Drosophila melanogaster: one gene and its partners. The gene in region 1 interacts genetically with each later gene. Each region holds a gene or a part of one and is shown on either strand. Other genes may lie near its edges. The genes, in order: Pis, rdgB and Cds.

What was found.
Region 2: of Pis (region 1) and rdgB, changing one suppresses a phenotype caused by changing the other (phenotypic suppression), as found in Drosophila melanogaster (one study listed by BioGRID).
Region 3: of Pis (region 1) and Cds, changing one suppresses a phenotype caused by changing the other (phenotypic suppression), as found in Drosophila melanogaster (2 studies listed by BioGRID).

The regions. Positions count from the first base shown.
Region 1 is NC_004354.4:15,700,861-15,705,458, reverse strand, and holds Pis (phosphatidylinositol synthase), read left to right. Parts: upstream 1-1,688; 5' UTR 1,689-1,837; coding exon 1,838-1,889; intron 1,890-2,140; coding exon 2,141-2,275; intron 2,276-2,371; coding exon of another isoform or gene 2,372-2,430; exon of another isoform or gene 2,431-2,646; intron 2,647-2,796; coding exon 2,797-2,950; intron 2,951-3,043; coding exon 3,044-3,195; intron 3,196-3,273; coding exon 3,274-3,455; 3' UTR 3,456-4,008; downstream 4,009-4,598. Other genes in the region: Hap40 (Huntingtin-associated protein 40 kDa), read right to left, coding at 8-866, 1,053-1,231; CG9240 (uncharacterized protein), read left to right, coding at 4,372-4,470. UniProt on the Drosophila melanogaster protein: Catalyzes the biosynthesis of phosphatidylinositol (PtdIns) as well as PtdIns:inositol exchange reaction. May thus act to reduce an excessive cellular PtdIns content.
Region 2 is NC_004354.4:13,761,148-13,765,871, reverse strand, and holds the start of rdgB (retinal degeneration B), read right to left. Parts: upstream 3,121-4,724; 5' UTR 2,927-3,120; intron 2,804-2,926; exon of another isoform or gene 2,761-2,803; intron 1-2,760. UniProt on the Drosophila melanogaster protein: Catalyzes the transfer of phosphatidylinositol (PI) and phosphatidic acid (PA) between membranes. May control phosphatidylinositol concentration in transport vesicles from the subrhabdomeric cisternae (SRC) to the rhabdomere.
Region 3 is NT_037436.4:8,126,070-8,132,254, forward strand, and holds Cds (CDP-diacylglycerol synthase), read left to right. Parts: upstream 1-1,692; 5' UTR 1,693-1,785; intron 1,786-1,859; 5' UTR 1,860-2,189; coding exon 2,190-2,300; intron 2,301-3,014; coding exon 3,015-3,139; intron 3,140-3,382; coding exon 3,383-3,479; intron 3,480-3,544; coding exon 3,545-3,721; intron 3,722-3,782; coding exon 3,783-4,271; intron 4,272-4,355; coding exon 4,356-4,487; intron 4,488-4,551; coding exon 4,552-4,764; 3' UTR 4,765-5,606; downstream 5,607-6,185. Other genes in the region: Uba2 (Ubiquitin-like activating enzyme 2), read right to left, coding at 1-885, 942-1,229, 1,283-1,437, 1,492-1,635; Setx (senataxin), read right to left, coding at 5,728-5,865, 5,928-6,185.

The DNA of each region.
Region 1 (4,598 bases):
CTAAAATCTAGTAGCTTCGGGCCAGTTCTGCATGCATCACCGCCAGCAGCTGCCTTTCCATGTCGCTCAGCGATCCAAATTCGGCTCCAAAGTCGCGCAGCAGGTGCTTTAGATCGCACATTTTACGCTCCACCCAGGCGCACGTAATCTCCGCCAGCGCATACTGCTGCTGTTCGGGCACAAATGCTCCCGGACGCTCCGCGGATCCACCGTCGTCCGCCGAACAGGGGAGCGACTCGAACTGCGCCAGGTTGTAGTAGTACTCGATCAGCTTGATGTGGGCGGGTGACTGGCGTGCGGGAGGCAGGTTCAAATGGACTAGGAGCAGCAGACGCAGCACCTCAACGCGCCGCAATAGTTCACCGTACATGCGAGCACCGCGTCGCTCGTAAACATTGTCCACAATGTCGTCGTAATGCTGCAGTGCACTGCGAAAATCGCCGCGCTGGCCACTCGTTTCGGCGCTGATTTCCAGGTCATGGATCTGATGGGTGGGCGAGGCAAAGCTGCTGGTGCTGTCCAGCTGCCGCTGCAGCTGCTTCAACTCGCGCAGAATGGCCGCCTTGAAGACGCAACCGTCCACCGCTCGATCCGCCGCACGGTGATAGCAGTGCACCGCTCCCTCCCGAAATCCCGAGTGGCGGGTGCGCAGATGCAGTCGCCCGGACTCGTTGTGCGCCGCTAGGAAGGATCTAGCTGCCCGCAGATAGGCCTCCGATTCGCGCTGCGGTGCGCCGCCGTAGGACTCGCACTTGGCATAGCCAATGTGGCACATGGCCGCATACTGCTGTATGCCCGACTCCTCGAAGCTGTAGGCCAGTCGCTGGAAGTCCGCCTGCACATCGACCACGCTGGGCGCAAAGCGTCTGGGAATTAGAGAAACAGTGGAGTATTGAGATTGTATTCCGTGATTCGAGGGCTTCTAATACACCCGTATTTCTAAACATAGTTTGAAGATGGAGGAAAAGCGATAAATTGGGCAATGACTTGCTAATCAAACGCAATGATCTGCAAGGTATCTGATTGCCCATACTTGGGCCGTAGCTACTCACTTGAAGAAGCCGGCCCGCTCGAACTTCTTGATCTTGCTGGAGGCCCTTAGATATTGCTCGATCAGGTTTTTGGGGTACTGATACTGCTCCAGTTGGTGGTGCTCATGGCCCGGAGCCGTCGATGGCGCGCCGCTGGAGGATCCGCCGCCGCCCAGACTGCCGCCGCGGAGTTTATCCATGCTACAGCATGTGGTTCTCCGCGCAGGTTACTTCGGGTCGCGCTACTTGTGCATTATATTTTCGCCTGTATTGTGTTTTTATTATTATTTGTGAAAACTTTATCGCGGGCGGTGTGACCATGCCATGTCCCGCTGAGGAATATACTAGCTTAGAAGCGGTATGCAAAGATCCATTTACACTGCTCAACGGCAGCGAAAATGTATCAAAACGGCACGCAAATCGCTGTCAAAACTCATTTAACAAGCAACTACACTAGTTGCCCGGTTTTGGTAGCTCATGTTAATAATCTAGTGACCTTTAATTTGTATTTGATACATTTAAAATGATATACTAATTACTAAATTTCTATTGGAAGAGAAAAATAGAAACTAGAAACAGATGTGTGTCAGTGGAAACCATCTGAAATCTTGTTGGCCAGTATAGTTCGGTATTTTCTCTCAAGTCTTTGTTTGTTTTTTCCAAAGGTCACGCTGCGGTCACACCAGATACAGCAAATTCTGTTTCCACTGTTTTTTCTGCAGCACTTTTGGCATTTAATTGGATAAAAACAAGCCGCAAAGCTAGAAGATCGCAAAATAAACGAAAAACCAAAGTGGCGAAACAAAATGACAATTGCCGAGCACGATAACGTCTTCATCTTTGTGCCAAATCTGATCGGTGAGTGGCTGTTTGTAGGTTTTATTCCGTGCTCCAGCTAGGTAAACAAATCGCATGTTCGATTTATGCGGCGCAATAATAGCGATTCTAGTGTTCCCTAATTGGATTAATAGGGGCTGTTTGGCAGCTAGTGCAATGCGAAGCGCAAGTTCAGCGATAAGAGCCGCTTCGTCCAACCCAATTGAGTCACCTCCAATGATTCTATACGTATGATGCACGCATATGTGCTGATTTATATTGATCTTTTCCAGGCTACGCCCGCATCGTTCTGGCCCTGATCGCCTTCTGGTTCATGTCCACCAACTATGTGATCTCCGGCTGGTGTTATGTAACCTCCGCCCTCCTGGACGCCGTCGATGGACAAGCAGCCCGAGCCTTTAACCAAAGTAAGCATTAACCATGCGATCGCCCTTGATATCGAAATGCCAGCTCATGCCAGCTATATGTCTGTATTTGATTTGTGCGCGCACTTTGGCCGCTAGCGCATTGCAAACACCTGTCTCCTCCGTACTGGTTATCTGCCGATATTGTGGAATTGTAGGCACGCCCTAAAGAGCCCGATATGGTCACGGCTATCCAGCCAATCGATGGATGACGTGGGGCTGAAGAATAGATAGAAAGCATGGCTAATATTGCCTTGGAACTATGCAATGTAGTTAGCAATATAGGAGGAAAAACATTAGGATAGAAGCCTTCTAAGAAACAAATTGCAGATACCATGCAATGTTTATGATATAGTAGTGTAGCAAACTGAAAGGTATGATCTTGCACTTGGATTTGTTGTATGCTAGCAGGATGATTTAGAGTCTTAACGAAAGGGTACTCCAACCAAAATATGTATATCAAAATATTAGTAATTATCATATGGTACTATGGAATCTTTACTAAATACTCGATTACCTCACAGGCACTCGCTTTGGCGCCATGCTAGACCAGTTGACCGATCGCTGCGGCACCACCGGCCTACTGGTCACCCTGGCCTACTTCTATCCCCGGTACATGTTCTGGTTCCAGCTGTCCATCGCCATCGACGTGGCCTGTCACTGGCTCTTCATGCAGACGTAAGTGGGGCAGGGGAAAGAGCAAGATGCTGGACGTCTGGACTGTCAAGGAATGGAAGGAAACTAATGACTCGTGGCTTTGTCTTTTTGCAGGAGCGTTGTGGTCGGACGCAGCTCGCACAAGGTGAATGACAACTTCATAATGCGATTGTATTACCAGAAGGACATACTCACATTCATGTGCTGCGTCAATGAGCTGTTTTACGTGTGCTTGTACCTCTTGCATTTCACCTACGGCCCGCTGAGTGAGTATACGCACACGCACATGCTTTGCATTTCAGCTGGCGAAACGTATCTAATCCGTTGATGGACTTCAATTGCAGTATTCGGCGCATCGCTCTTCAAGATACTCGCCTTCCTCACGGGTCCCTTTGCCGTGCTCAAGGCCCTGATCTCGGTGATGCACGCCTACGTGGCGGGCATCGATCTGGCGGCCGTGGATGTACGCGAGCGGCAGGAGCGGCGCCAGAAGTCGGAGCCGGTGAGCGGCAAGAAAGTGGAGTGAAAATGGGATGCGATCCGGGATCAATCTTCCAGCGACAGTTCTATCAACAGAAAGTACTAAATGAAACAACTCTTGATTCCAAGCTAAAAAAACAGAATTTTGAAGACGAATTGCGATCAGATGAAATATGGGCATTAGGCAACCAAATAGGCCGTAGTAGGAATTTAATTTATTTTTAATGCGCTATTGCAATGATTGTTGATTTTATTTGATATATTTTAGTTAGACGGGTGGTGAAATCACCCGACAATTTGTATTTAATAGATTTTTGAATTGAAATTTAAGCGATTCGTTCCAGTCAGTAGCTGTTGCATATTTATTTTGCCTTTAGTTAGCGTAGTTTACACGCTATATATGTATATATATGCCAATGCGTAAATGCAGGCCGATATACTATGAATGAGTGTCTATTTCCAGGATTTATCTCACTGTGCACGTTTTGGGTTTGACTAACCACCTTGTCCCAGCAACTCTCTCAATGTAACTAATGTATTTCTAATCGTAAGTTAAAGAATGTAATTGGAGACCTGCATGAAATATATACGACAAATGGATGTTAGATGTATTTGAAACATTAACATATATGTACCATACATGCCAGGCCTGGCAGACTTAGTCAAAATTGAAAAGTGAAAATAAATATATGTGGTTCTATGCGCTAAATTTTAGTTTAACCTTTTGGGCCATCGATTTTTGAAATTTGCGCCACACAAAATTTATCGTTAGACATCAAAATTATCGTTGGCACATCCCTGGCTGGCCGCTCAGCTGCGCCGCCTGTGCAGCCCTGATTTTTACACAACATAAACATTCGATTTTGGAGGAGCTCTTTTTTCGAGAGAATACCAGGTCGTTGGACACGGGAGATGCTCTGATTAGGGGCGCATGTGGAGCAGCCAACGCCGGAATCGCCGACATGAAAATCCTCTCCCGTCTGGGTCGCCTGATGCGCTACACGGTGGCCTACGCGGCAATCACACACTGCACCTTCGAGTACATTGGCGATTTCGTCCTGGTAAGGCGTCTAGGATGAAGTTCCTGGGCGGGTATACTTGCCCAACATGTGCCAGCATCACATAGTTCGTGTGAATGCATTAAGGTACTCTCCACTTGTTTTTCCACCTTGTGTAACTTCCACTTGAT
Region 2 (4,724 bases), 1.9 Mb from region 1:
ATGTTGCGCAAAAGTTTAGATTTCCCTATTTACTATGAGATTAAGAAAAACAAGCTACAGAATATCTAATACATAATACAATACATTCATTCTATATGAAATTACTAAAAAGAAGCTTTTGATATATGTAATTATATTATGGCATAGTTTCATTAGTTTGTAGTTATATATGGTTTGATCCTAATAAGATCTGGATAGACATTGTTGGGGAAATGGGGGAGGGGGCGGGATGTTCTAGATGCTAAAATAAGAGGCACAATAAAGGAGGGCCGTCAATCAATAATTATTGGGCACAGCGGGCAGTGGGGGAAGGGGAAACGAACACAGACATGCACATGTTTATGTCATGGCAGTTACATGGCAGGCCGTAACGAATCGTAAGCCCCAACAATATGGCCACCGCTTTAGGCCCCCTTCCCCCTGCCATGCCACGCCCCCTTTTCGCCTAGCACTCTCCACCCCCCGTTAGCCTCCACACATCACCATTTTTCTGTTTTTTTTTTTTGCCTCCTTAGCATAATTACATTTTGTGACACAGAAAATGCGCCAACAGATTTTCTTTGCTACACTGGGTCAAAGGTTATCGAAAGTGTGTCCTATATATAAGAAAAACAGATAATTTCATAACGAAAACATGTATCTTCCACTGTTTTAAAGTTGTGAAACAACTTTTTTGGTGTAAAAAATTTCTGTTAAGCTAGCGAAAGTAACAATGTGCAGTTAGCACTATATGAAGAATGCTAGGTTTTGTTTACAACTGCAATTACTTTTCCCAATTTAATATTCATATGTATGTACATTTTTACGACTTTTAGAGAACACAAGTAAAGTTCATATAAGAAGAAAGCACCTGCAGTTAAAAGTGATAAGAAATGTTAATATTCACGATGAGAAAAAACTTTGCAGCGATAAGATTTATTACAATGGAGCTTCCTTTATGGGGCTTATAAAAAAATGGACATTATTTACGATTCGCTTAAAGTCTTCTTATTTGGCGGGGGGCATTCGAGAAATCTAGACTAGAAAACACCTTTTTTTTTAAATGATATAGCAGCCCGGAGATGAAAAAGCGGCCCACTGTGCATCAATAAACAAATTACAAACGCACACATGTGCTGGCTATAAAAGATCCGGCCAAAGTGCACGTAGCCTTCAATGTGGTTGTTTATGATGTATTTTGTCATTTAAAAAATTTTTGTTTATGATGTGACCAAAGGGTAAAGCAAGGGTATGCACACGGAGAAAAGTAAGAGCAATATCACAAATATTTTCATTCATTAATATTATTAAAATATATTAACACAATGCACATTTTATCCATGTCCACTCTGATATTTAAATTATTTTTAAGATTGCTTGATATACTTTTCTCTCCGTGTAAAATCATAAGATGAAGATGGGTAAAATTCCACGCTTTTATGCACAAAACCATTTTTGTTATTAAGTCTGCCAGACAGAAGCTCAAATAGTGAAAATAGAGGAAATAAATTTGCGCAATTGTTGCAACATCAAAAACGCCAAACTGATAAATAAATTGCCATGGTAATTGACCAAGCAATACAATAAAAAAAAAGGTGTAGAAAAATGTGCAAAAAAAGGTAATAAAACGAAGAAAAGCAACAACAACAGAAAACGCACTCAAGCGGAAATAAATGAACGCGAGACAGAGACAGAAATAGACGGGTTGGGATGCAAAGAAAGCAAAGGTTGAAAGAAAGCCTATTAAATCCGAGTCTCAAGTTTAGTGAGCTAAATTAGACGGAAAAGAGCAAGAAAAAAAGGTCACGTACTCTCTCTTTGGCTCTCACCCACTCTCCCCGTCTCGCTCACTCCTTCGTGCACACCTGTGGCACGCTTTGTGCTTATTAATAATTTATAAATACAATAAGCAGCAAAAATAAGAACACAACAAACGTATTTCTTGGGTTCATCTCAAAAAGGGCCTATATAATAATATTTATTTTGTACAAAGATATCTTTTATAGACTCATTTATGAAAAATGTACATTCCTAAAAATATTAATCATAGGAAATTCATAATTTCTAAGATTAAAGACTTTTTTTCAAAAACCAATGGTTATAAATTCCAGAGCAGTGCTTTCGAATAAATATTTTTATTTTTCATCTGAGTTAAGTTCCTATTTTTTTAGTATAATGAAATGTGTAAAAAATTATTTATGGAACATTAACCAAAAAAAGTTATTTTTTATGAACTCATAATGAAAACATTTCTAACAATATTATTCTTAAGAAATTTATCATTTTTAGATTAAAGCATTTTTTTAAAGAAATAGTTATAAATTAATATTTTTATTTTTAATTTGACTTAAATTCCTTAAAAAATACTTTAAAAAATCAATCATTAAGATGGCTATAAAAGACTTTTTAAAACGCTGAACTGTAATAAACTTTATCCGATTTATAAAAGTGCAAAAGTACCAAACATAACAAAACAAAGCTTTACGTGAAAATTACGCATGGAAAATTCTTATCACAGACTTGTTGTTGTTTGTAAAAGAGAGCAAAAGCGTGAAACAGGAAGAGCGGTGGGAGAGAGCTAACGGGACCTTGAGACCTGGCCACAGCCAACACACACACACTTACACAAACGCGACGCAGCTTACGCATTTACGCAGCTGCCACCCACACACACACACACACGACAACCGAAGTATCCTTAACTAATTTTACGAATTTTGTTGTAAACTATTCCATTTGTTACAAACAAAGGTGAAAAAAGAGCAGCAGTGGAAAACGTACCAACTTTCGGCGGGCCAACTCACATTATTATCATTGCGGGCAGCTGGACAATTAACAACAAAAGAGTAAGGTCCAAAGCGCAAAGGAGAAAAAAAAACAACGAACAACGCACAACAAAATATAAATATACAGTGGATATATGCTGACTCGATTGGGCGATTAATACAATTTATCTATTCATTTTCTTCGGGGCGCTTTTCCAGGCCGCAGATGAAAAATGTTTTCAGCGTTGTTGCTGCTTGCCTTGCGTTTGCTTATTTCTTTTTGCAATCAAAACGTACACACTGAAAAAAAAACAGCGTGCGCTGCGCGGCGGCAAAGTTGCGATTGCGACTCGGCTCGCGTTTGATTCCGAACTGAAGTAAGATGAACCAAACCGAAATGAACTGAACGGAACGCCGAACGCTGAACTGAACGAACGCCGAAAAGCAAACGAAGCTAAAGCAAAAGCAAAGCCAAGAGAAATGAGCGGAGAGAGCGAGGCGTTCCGAAAATGAGTATCACCGCAAAATCGCCAGACTCATAAAAAGTATACTAGTATATACATAAATACATATGTATGTATGTACATATTTGCAATCTGGATAATTTTTGCTTAGATATTAAAAAACTATTTCTACATTACATATACATACATGTTTTAAGTACATTTTAGAAAAGGACTATTTAAGGACTAATTAAATAACAAAAAAGTTAAAACGCCACCGTTTCTGAAAACGGTCAGTTCAGTTCTCAATTCTCAACTGACGATTCGCGGAAAACCCCTTACTTTATTTGTGCGCAACAAAAGCGCGCGAGAAAGCGTCACTCTCACTCTCTTTGCCTTTCTCTCCTTTTGCGGGGACACTCAGCTGGCTAGGCTGAAAAGGGGGGGTTTCGTAAATTGGATTTATGCATATCGGCCAATGAATAATATACAGTAATTTCTGCAAGAAACTCGGATGGCCAGAACCCCACAAAATGCCAACGTCCCGGCGTCCTTGTGCGCTCTCTTCTGGAGAAAAGCAGCGAGAGCAAGAGCTTGCCAAGCCCAAAAAGAAGAACAAACGCTGAAGGGCAAATAGTGAGAGAGAGAGAGAGAGAAGACGCTCTAAGTGTACGGTAAGAAGATAAGCTTAACGGCGCATTCCGTTCGGTCAGAGTCAAAGCAAACATGTCACGACATGCACAAACAAAAGACGCCAACTGTTGTCATTCCGCTCCTGTCACTCCAGCTCCCTATCTCGCTCTATTTTCGACTCTGCTGTTTTCGCTGCCCTTTCTAGTTTGTCTATTGCATTTGATAAAGTTCAACTTTGACATTTACACCGCGCATGTCCCAAAACTGTAAGGAACAATTGAGTTTACACAGGTTGCCCAGTGATTTTTGAACGAGTAGTCACTAACGATAAACCGAATGCAAATTTTAATTGAGTGCACATCAAATGGCAACGGACACTAGTTGCCTCACTCTCACTTCCGCCCACTCAATGCATCCATCTCCTTGTGCGTATTTCCATCCCAACTTCGCAATCCTGTTAAGCATCTAGGGTGCTAGTAAATACCAAGCTGCACAGTTTTCTAAATTTTGATTTTTATGAGTTATTCCTAATTTCTTTTCAGTTTATTTATTATCTACATTTTCTTTCGTGTACCTTTCATTAGGTATCATAATTGTATTTTAGGCACTTTTTGTTTGCTTTATTTATCGTGTTGTTTTTTGGTTAAGCATCTGCTTAAGATCACCTGTGATATATGCATTTATCTTTTTATTATTAGCTCATTTAAGTTGTTTGGCCGATTTACTATGTTAAATATGTATATTTTCGGAAATTTTTCTATTTACTTCAGAAGGGGTGCCTAAAAATGTGCCCAGCAAATTCTTGTGTGTGTTTTTTAATACCATAAAAGTTAGAATCCAATCCAGAATAACCATTGCTATTGCTATTAAAAAACTTGACTTTTCGAAAATTTGCAGCTTTTAT
Region 3 (6,185 bases), on another chromosome or scaffold:
AACATGTTGAGCGTCTTAACCAGGACCTCGTCACGCAGCTCCTTTATACGCATGCGCTTCGTATCGATCTTGAGAGTAATGGCCGGATCGCTGGCGCATACATGGCAATTGGGATTGGGGCCAGGAAGAGAAGCGTCCGGTACAAGGAAGTGATTTCGTGCATTTGGTCTAAGTCGGGCATAGACGGCCTTGCACTGCTCCCACTTGGCCTCCAGCACTTTGAAAGCCCGCATCACGGAAATTCCCGCCGTAATCGCATTTGTGGTGGCAATAGCAGGAATAATGTTTCCCGCCATTGACTTAATCTCGAACCTTGACTTTCGCTCAATGTCGAAAATGTGGGATCGCACGTTGGCGCAGGCCGCCACGAAATCCATGGCTGGCTGGTCGTCCTTGTCCCAAGCCAGAGTATCGTCGCCTTCGAGTTTCAGGAAGTTAGCGCTCAACTCTTTTAATGAATTGGCAAAGACCTGAGCGCACTCCTCGATGGACCACACCTTGTGATGCTGCTTGGCCACATCCTTCTGATCACCGGAGGATCCTTCGGGCAGCAGGGTATCCCACTGCACGGGCACGGGTGCCTTGCGGGTCTTCCACAAATTCGACATACGCAACAAATAGGTAATGTCCTCGTTAAAGAACTTGTTGAACAGCTTGCCCGCATCATAGTTGCAGTCCTTGGCCCATTGGCGAGTATTAATGCGCATTATGTTGCCGTTGGCAGTATCCTCCTTGGCCTCCTTTTCCTCTTTTGACTCTTCGCCTTTTTCCTTCCCATCGCCTTTGGGCTCGCCATTTCCATCGCCGCCGTCTTTTTCTTTTGCATCGGGATCAGCAGCATCAGGAGAAATATCCTCATCTTCCAAGGACTCACCAAACAGTTGACTGCAAATAAATCAATAGATTTGCTGCAATTTAGACTAATTATTAGGTATACTCACTTAAAGAGATGCTTGGCCCAGACAATGCAGTGAATCGGTTCGGAGGGCGTATTGCGTATGGTGCAGCCCGGGAAGCTTCGCTGTTTGTCTTTTGGAGTGCACTCGTAGCACTGGGTGAGTCCACGCTTGATCAGTTCCACCTGGCCATTGTAGCCGGCGGTGCCGCTCTCGATCAGCGGGACATCCGCATTGAGGCACATGCGATTTACATGATTCCTGGCGGCCCTGTTGTCCAAGGCGCTGAGCACCAAATCGAACTTCTTAAAGAAGTTGACGCCATAATCAGTACTAAAAGGTATGTGTTGTTAGCAAGATGTAAAGGCAAAGCTATCCCAACTTACGATGTTACACTGTCGTGGTAAGCGGTTATCTTAGCGTCCGGATTGAAGCTCAGTGCGCTTTCCCTAGCCACCCGTGCCTTAGATTTTCCAACGTGCTCGCGATGGAATAGGAACTGTCGGTTCAAGTTGCTAAGATCAATTGTGTCCAGATCGATCTGGGTAACGTTTATAAATTAATAATATGGAATACTTTTTTCGAAAAAACTTACAATTTCGATGTCTGTAAAGCCGCTAAGCACAAGGTTTTTGAGCACCTCGCAGCCGATTCCGCCGGCGCCCACGACCAGCACCTTGGACTTCTTTACCAGCTCCTGCAATGTGGGTGGGAAAACACCATTGATAGCTGCTGCCATTTTCTGAATTTACGTTTTCCTTTTTCTTATTTTTGGCGAGAAAATTGCAAAATTGCGATACGGAAAAGCCGAGAAAAGTGACGCCGCCGGTGCAGGTGTTGGGAAACGTATAAAGCTACGGATATTCTCTACCAGGGATGGCTGATATGGGTGACTCTTATTATCACTTAAATTAACTTTTCTAGTATTATTAATATATTTTATTTTACATATTACGACAAAAGTCACCGTTAATTGCACAGAAAAAGAAAGTTCTTTTAAAAGACATCAAACATTTTCTGTCCGAAAAGTCAACTTGTAAAACCTAACAGCAATTGAGCATACTTGCCAACACTTTTGCTCCACCAGCCCACTTTGCGCAAGCTGGGCACACTGCATGCTGGGCTAATCAGAAATAGAGAAAAGCATTTTAATTCGGACGAAGTCGACATACGGATCACGCAGCACGGGTCACGGCAAACGGCAAACGCGGAGAGCGGAACACGGACGAGAACTGCTCAAGCGGAATCAATAGGAATCAATACATTGTGAATAGATCTGGCGAACATCGAATAATGGCCGAAGTGCGACGCAGGAAGGGCGAGGATGAGCCACTGGAGGACACGGCCATCTCCGGATCTGACGCAGCCAATAAGCGCAACTCCGCCGCCGACTCCTCGGACCATGTAAGTAGCAATGACTTGTATGTGGAGCAGCCGAGCGGCAGCTGTTCCGGACACCAATTTGCATAATTCTTGGAGCATAGAAAAGCCAATGTGTGTATACCAACAAATGTGTGTGGCTATGTGTTTTTGTTATTCTCTGACGCACAAGCAGGTGGGAGAAAGAAGAGAGAGCTCTCTCCTGGAGAAAATCCAATAACAAACACAAAACACACCACTAGCCAGCCAGCCTGCCTGCCACCCAACCACCCACCTGCTGTGTTGCAATATAGCGCCATTATGACCAGCAAATCCAATTAGATGGACTACGCCAATTAGGGAAGCACTGGGCCAAGAACCCAGAGCCGAAACCATTACCATGACCAGACTCCCTTTCTGGCTTGGACTTTTTTTGTTATTGCTGGGTGATAATGCCTCCTTATCAACCAAGCTATTTGGCAACAAAACACGCCACCCAAAAAAACCCGCAATTTTTCTCCCCACTTGGTTCCCCTCTCTATTTTATGTGCCTGTGTATTGGATAAACGAGTGATTCTGATTATGGGTATATAGGCACATACATACACGTATCATGGACTTTGCTCGGCGTCGTCCAATAGAAAGTATTTAAACCCTGCACTCCGGTCGTATCGAATCTGATAGGAAACCTACTTTGCAGTCCCAGCCAATGCAATCAATAAGTGAATTTTCCCTTTCCCTTGCTCCTCCTCCTGCCAGGTGGACTCCGAGGAAGAGAAGATTCCCGAGGAGAAGTTCGTCGACGAACTGGCCAAGAATCTGCCGCAGGGAACCGACAAAACGCCCGAGATATTGGACTCGGCCCTCAAGGATCTGCCGGATAGGTATGTGAAACAAATCCATATGCGTAGTTGGGATCTTTAAAGATCATGATGAATAGCTAAAGGTCGATTTGGAATTGATGATTCAAAAAATATTTTATTGAAGTGCGAATTTTATAAATCCGACAGAATGAGTATGAGTGCGTTCCAAAAATAATCCATATCCACAGCTGTCTACAGTTGGCGAGCAAATATTAAAAGTAAATATGTACAATTACAAACAATTATTTTTTGCGCATTCCACAGATGGAAGAACTGGGTGATTCGCGGCATCTTCACATGGATTATGATCTGCGGCTTCGCATTGATCATCTATGGTGGACCGCTGGCCTTGATGATCACGGTAGGTTTAATGGAATTCGCTTAAACGAGTCTTCAAATAATCGTTGTCCTACTTTCTCTTTGCAGACGTTACTGGTGCAGGTGAAGTGCTTCCAGGAGATCATCTCGATTGGCTACCAGGTTTATCGAATTCATGGCTTGCCCTGGTTCCGAAGCCTTTCCTGGTATTTCCTGCTTACCTCAAATTACTTCTTTTACGGAGAGAATCTGGTAGACTACTTTGGCGTTGTAATTAATCGGGTGGTCAGTAAATAATACAATAACCTGATTATATCGCCTGGTAAATATGCAATTTCATCTACAGGAATATCTGAAGTTCCTGGTGACCTATCACCGGTTCCTTTCCTTCGCCCTGTACATCATCGGGTTCGTTTGGTTCGTGCTCTCACTGGTGAAGAAGTATTACATCAAACAATTCAGCCTGTTTGCCTGGACCCATGTATCCCTGCTGATTGTCGTCACCCAGAGTTACCTCATCATACAGAATATATTTGAGGGGCTCATTTGGTTCATCGTACCTGTTTCGATGATAGTGTGCAATGATGTCATGGCGTACGTGTTCGGTTTCTTCTTTGGGCGCACTCCCCTCATCAAGCTCAGCCCCAAGAAGACCTGGGAGGGCTTCATCGGGGGTGGCTTCGCCACCGTCCTCTTTGGCATTCTGTTCTCGTATGTGCTGTGCAACTACCAGTACTTTATCTGTCCCATCCAGTACTCGGAGGAACAGGGACGCATGACAATGTCCTGTGTGCCAAGCTATTTGTTCACGCCCCAGGAATACAGCCTTAAATTGGTAAGTGATAATGTATTTCTATGGAGTTATGGGTTACCGATTTGTTGTGCTGATAGCTACAGTAATAATTTTTTTCATTTCCAGTTTGGCATTGGCAAGACTCTAAATCTTTACCCCTTTATCTGGCACTCGATCTCCCTGAGCCTGTTTAGTTCCATTATTGGACCCTTTGGTGGCTTCTTTGCCTCTGGATTTAAGAGAGCTTTCAAAATTAAGGTAAGTAATCTTTTCGGAACACAGGTCTTTTCAATGTAACGCAACACACCATCTTGTTTTGCAGGACTTTGGCGACATGATACCCGGACATGGCGGCATTATGGATCGTTTCGATTGTCAGTTTCTTATGGCGACCTTCGTTAACGTTTATATATCCAGCTTCATCAGAACTCCGTCGCCGGCTAAGCTGCTGACACAGATTTACAACCTTAAGCCAGATCAACAATACCAAATTTATCAGTCCCTCAAGGACAACTTGGGCGACATGTTAACCTAAACTTGATCGGTTACCAGTAAGATTCGGACAAGACGTTTGCTGAGTCGTACGTTCTATATGTAATGCAGAAATTTCTATATATATACATTGATATATATCTGTAAGCAAACGGGCCGGCAGTTTGAGCAGCCACATAAAATAAGTTAATTACGGGCATAATTTTTGTTATGTTATTAGTCCTTAGTTAGATTTTGTTGCTACATTTTAGTTAAATTCTTAAGTTAGTTTTTATTTTATCTTGCATTAAGTTATTGCGATTGTTTTATTTGGCAGAACTCTACACAGTGCAATCGTATTGTTAAGCGATTCCATTAATTTTAATGCCCTCGTGACAAGGCGTCAAGGCAAGGCAAACAGAATAACTATGAATTTAATATCGACTATGTGTGTGTGCGTGTTGTTAGTGAATTTAATTACGATAACTATAGCTTAGAGATGATCAGGCAGACAACGCCAGAATCTGGAGATTAGCATAATTAAAGCGCATTTTAGTTAAATACCTGAGGGACGAAATTATGAGATCAAGATACCAGGAAAACTCTTGCAATGCTGTAATTCTATATATAATAGTGCAATATGCAGACGTTAAATAATTGATTTAACCATTTCAATATTTATTTATTTACTTTTATTCGGTCATACACTACGCCATGCATAGTGCAACATCCTCAACCCGTGAATCTTTCTCAAAAAGTACATAGATGATATATAATCGGTTACTTATAAATCCTGTTATACTGTACGGCATTTAAGAACGAAAATGCAATTCGTCGGCGTTTTAAAGAACTAAATGTACAAAGATTTCAATATTAAATCTTACAGTCTCTATGTTAAATATATATAAAAATAACAAAGCCTTTTTTTAAACAATGTGGGAAGCGCTTCTCTTCCATGGCACTTGTGATATCTTAGCATCTAAAAGGTAGTTTTAATCTCATTAACTAATAGGGAACGTTGTGTCCCCTAAATTAAGTTGATAGTATTCACCATCATCTTTTTGATTAAGGAACGGTCTAGGTCGTTCACATCATCGCGGTCCAAATTGAAGTAAACTTTCCTCTTGCGAGCATCATCGAGAAGGTTGCGCCACATTTCAACAGACTACAAAATTAAGAAAAGTTCATAAAAAACATGTTTTATTTCAATTAAATCTGGATACTGACTTTTAGATCTTCAAAATTGCCACATATGACTAGACAACGACGCGGTCTGGTCAGCGCCACATTAAGTCGCTGATAGTTCGTTAGAAAGCCACAGCCGCGTGTCCTGGCATTTGAAATTATTATCACATCCTTTTCCAATCCTTGATACGAGTCCACAGTCTGAGGAGTTATATTCATGTGACTGGGAATAACCTGGCTTAGCGCGTAACACTGGTTTTGGTACGGCGAAATTAATCCATAGCTAAATCGCTTGCTGGG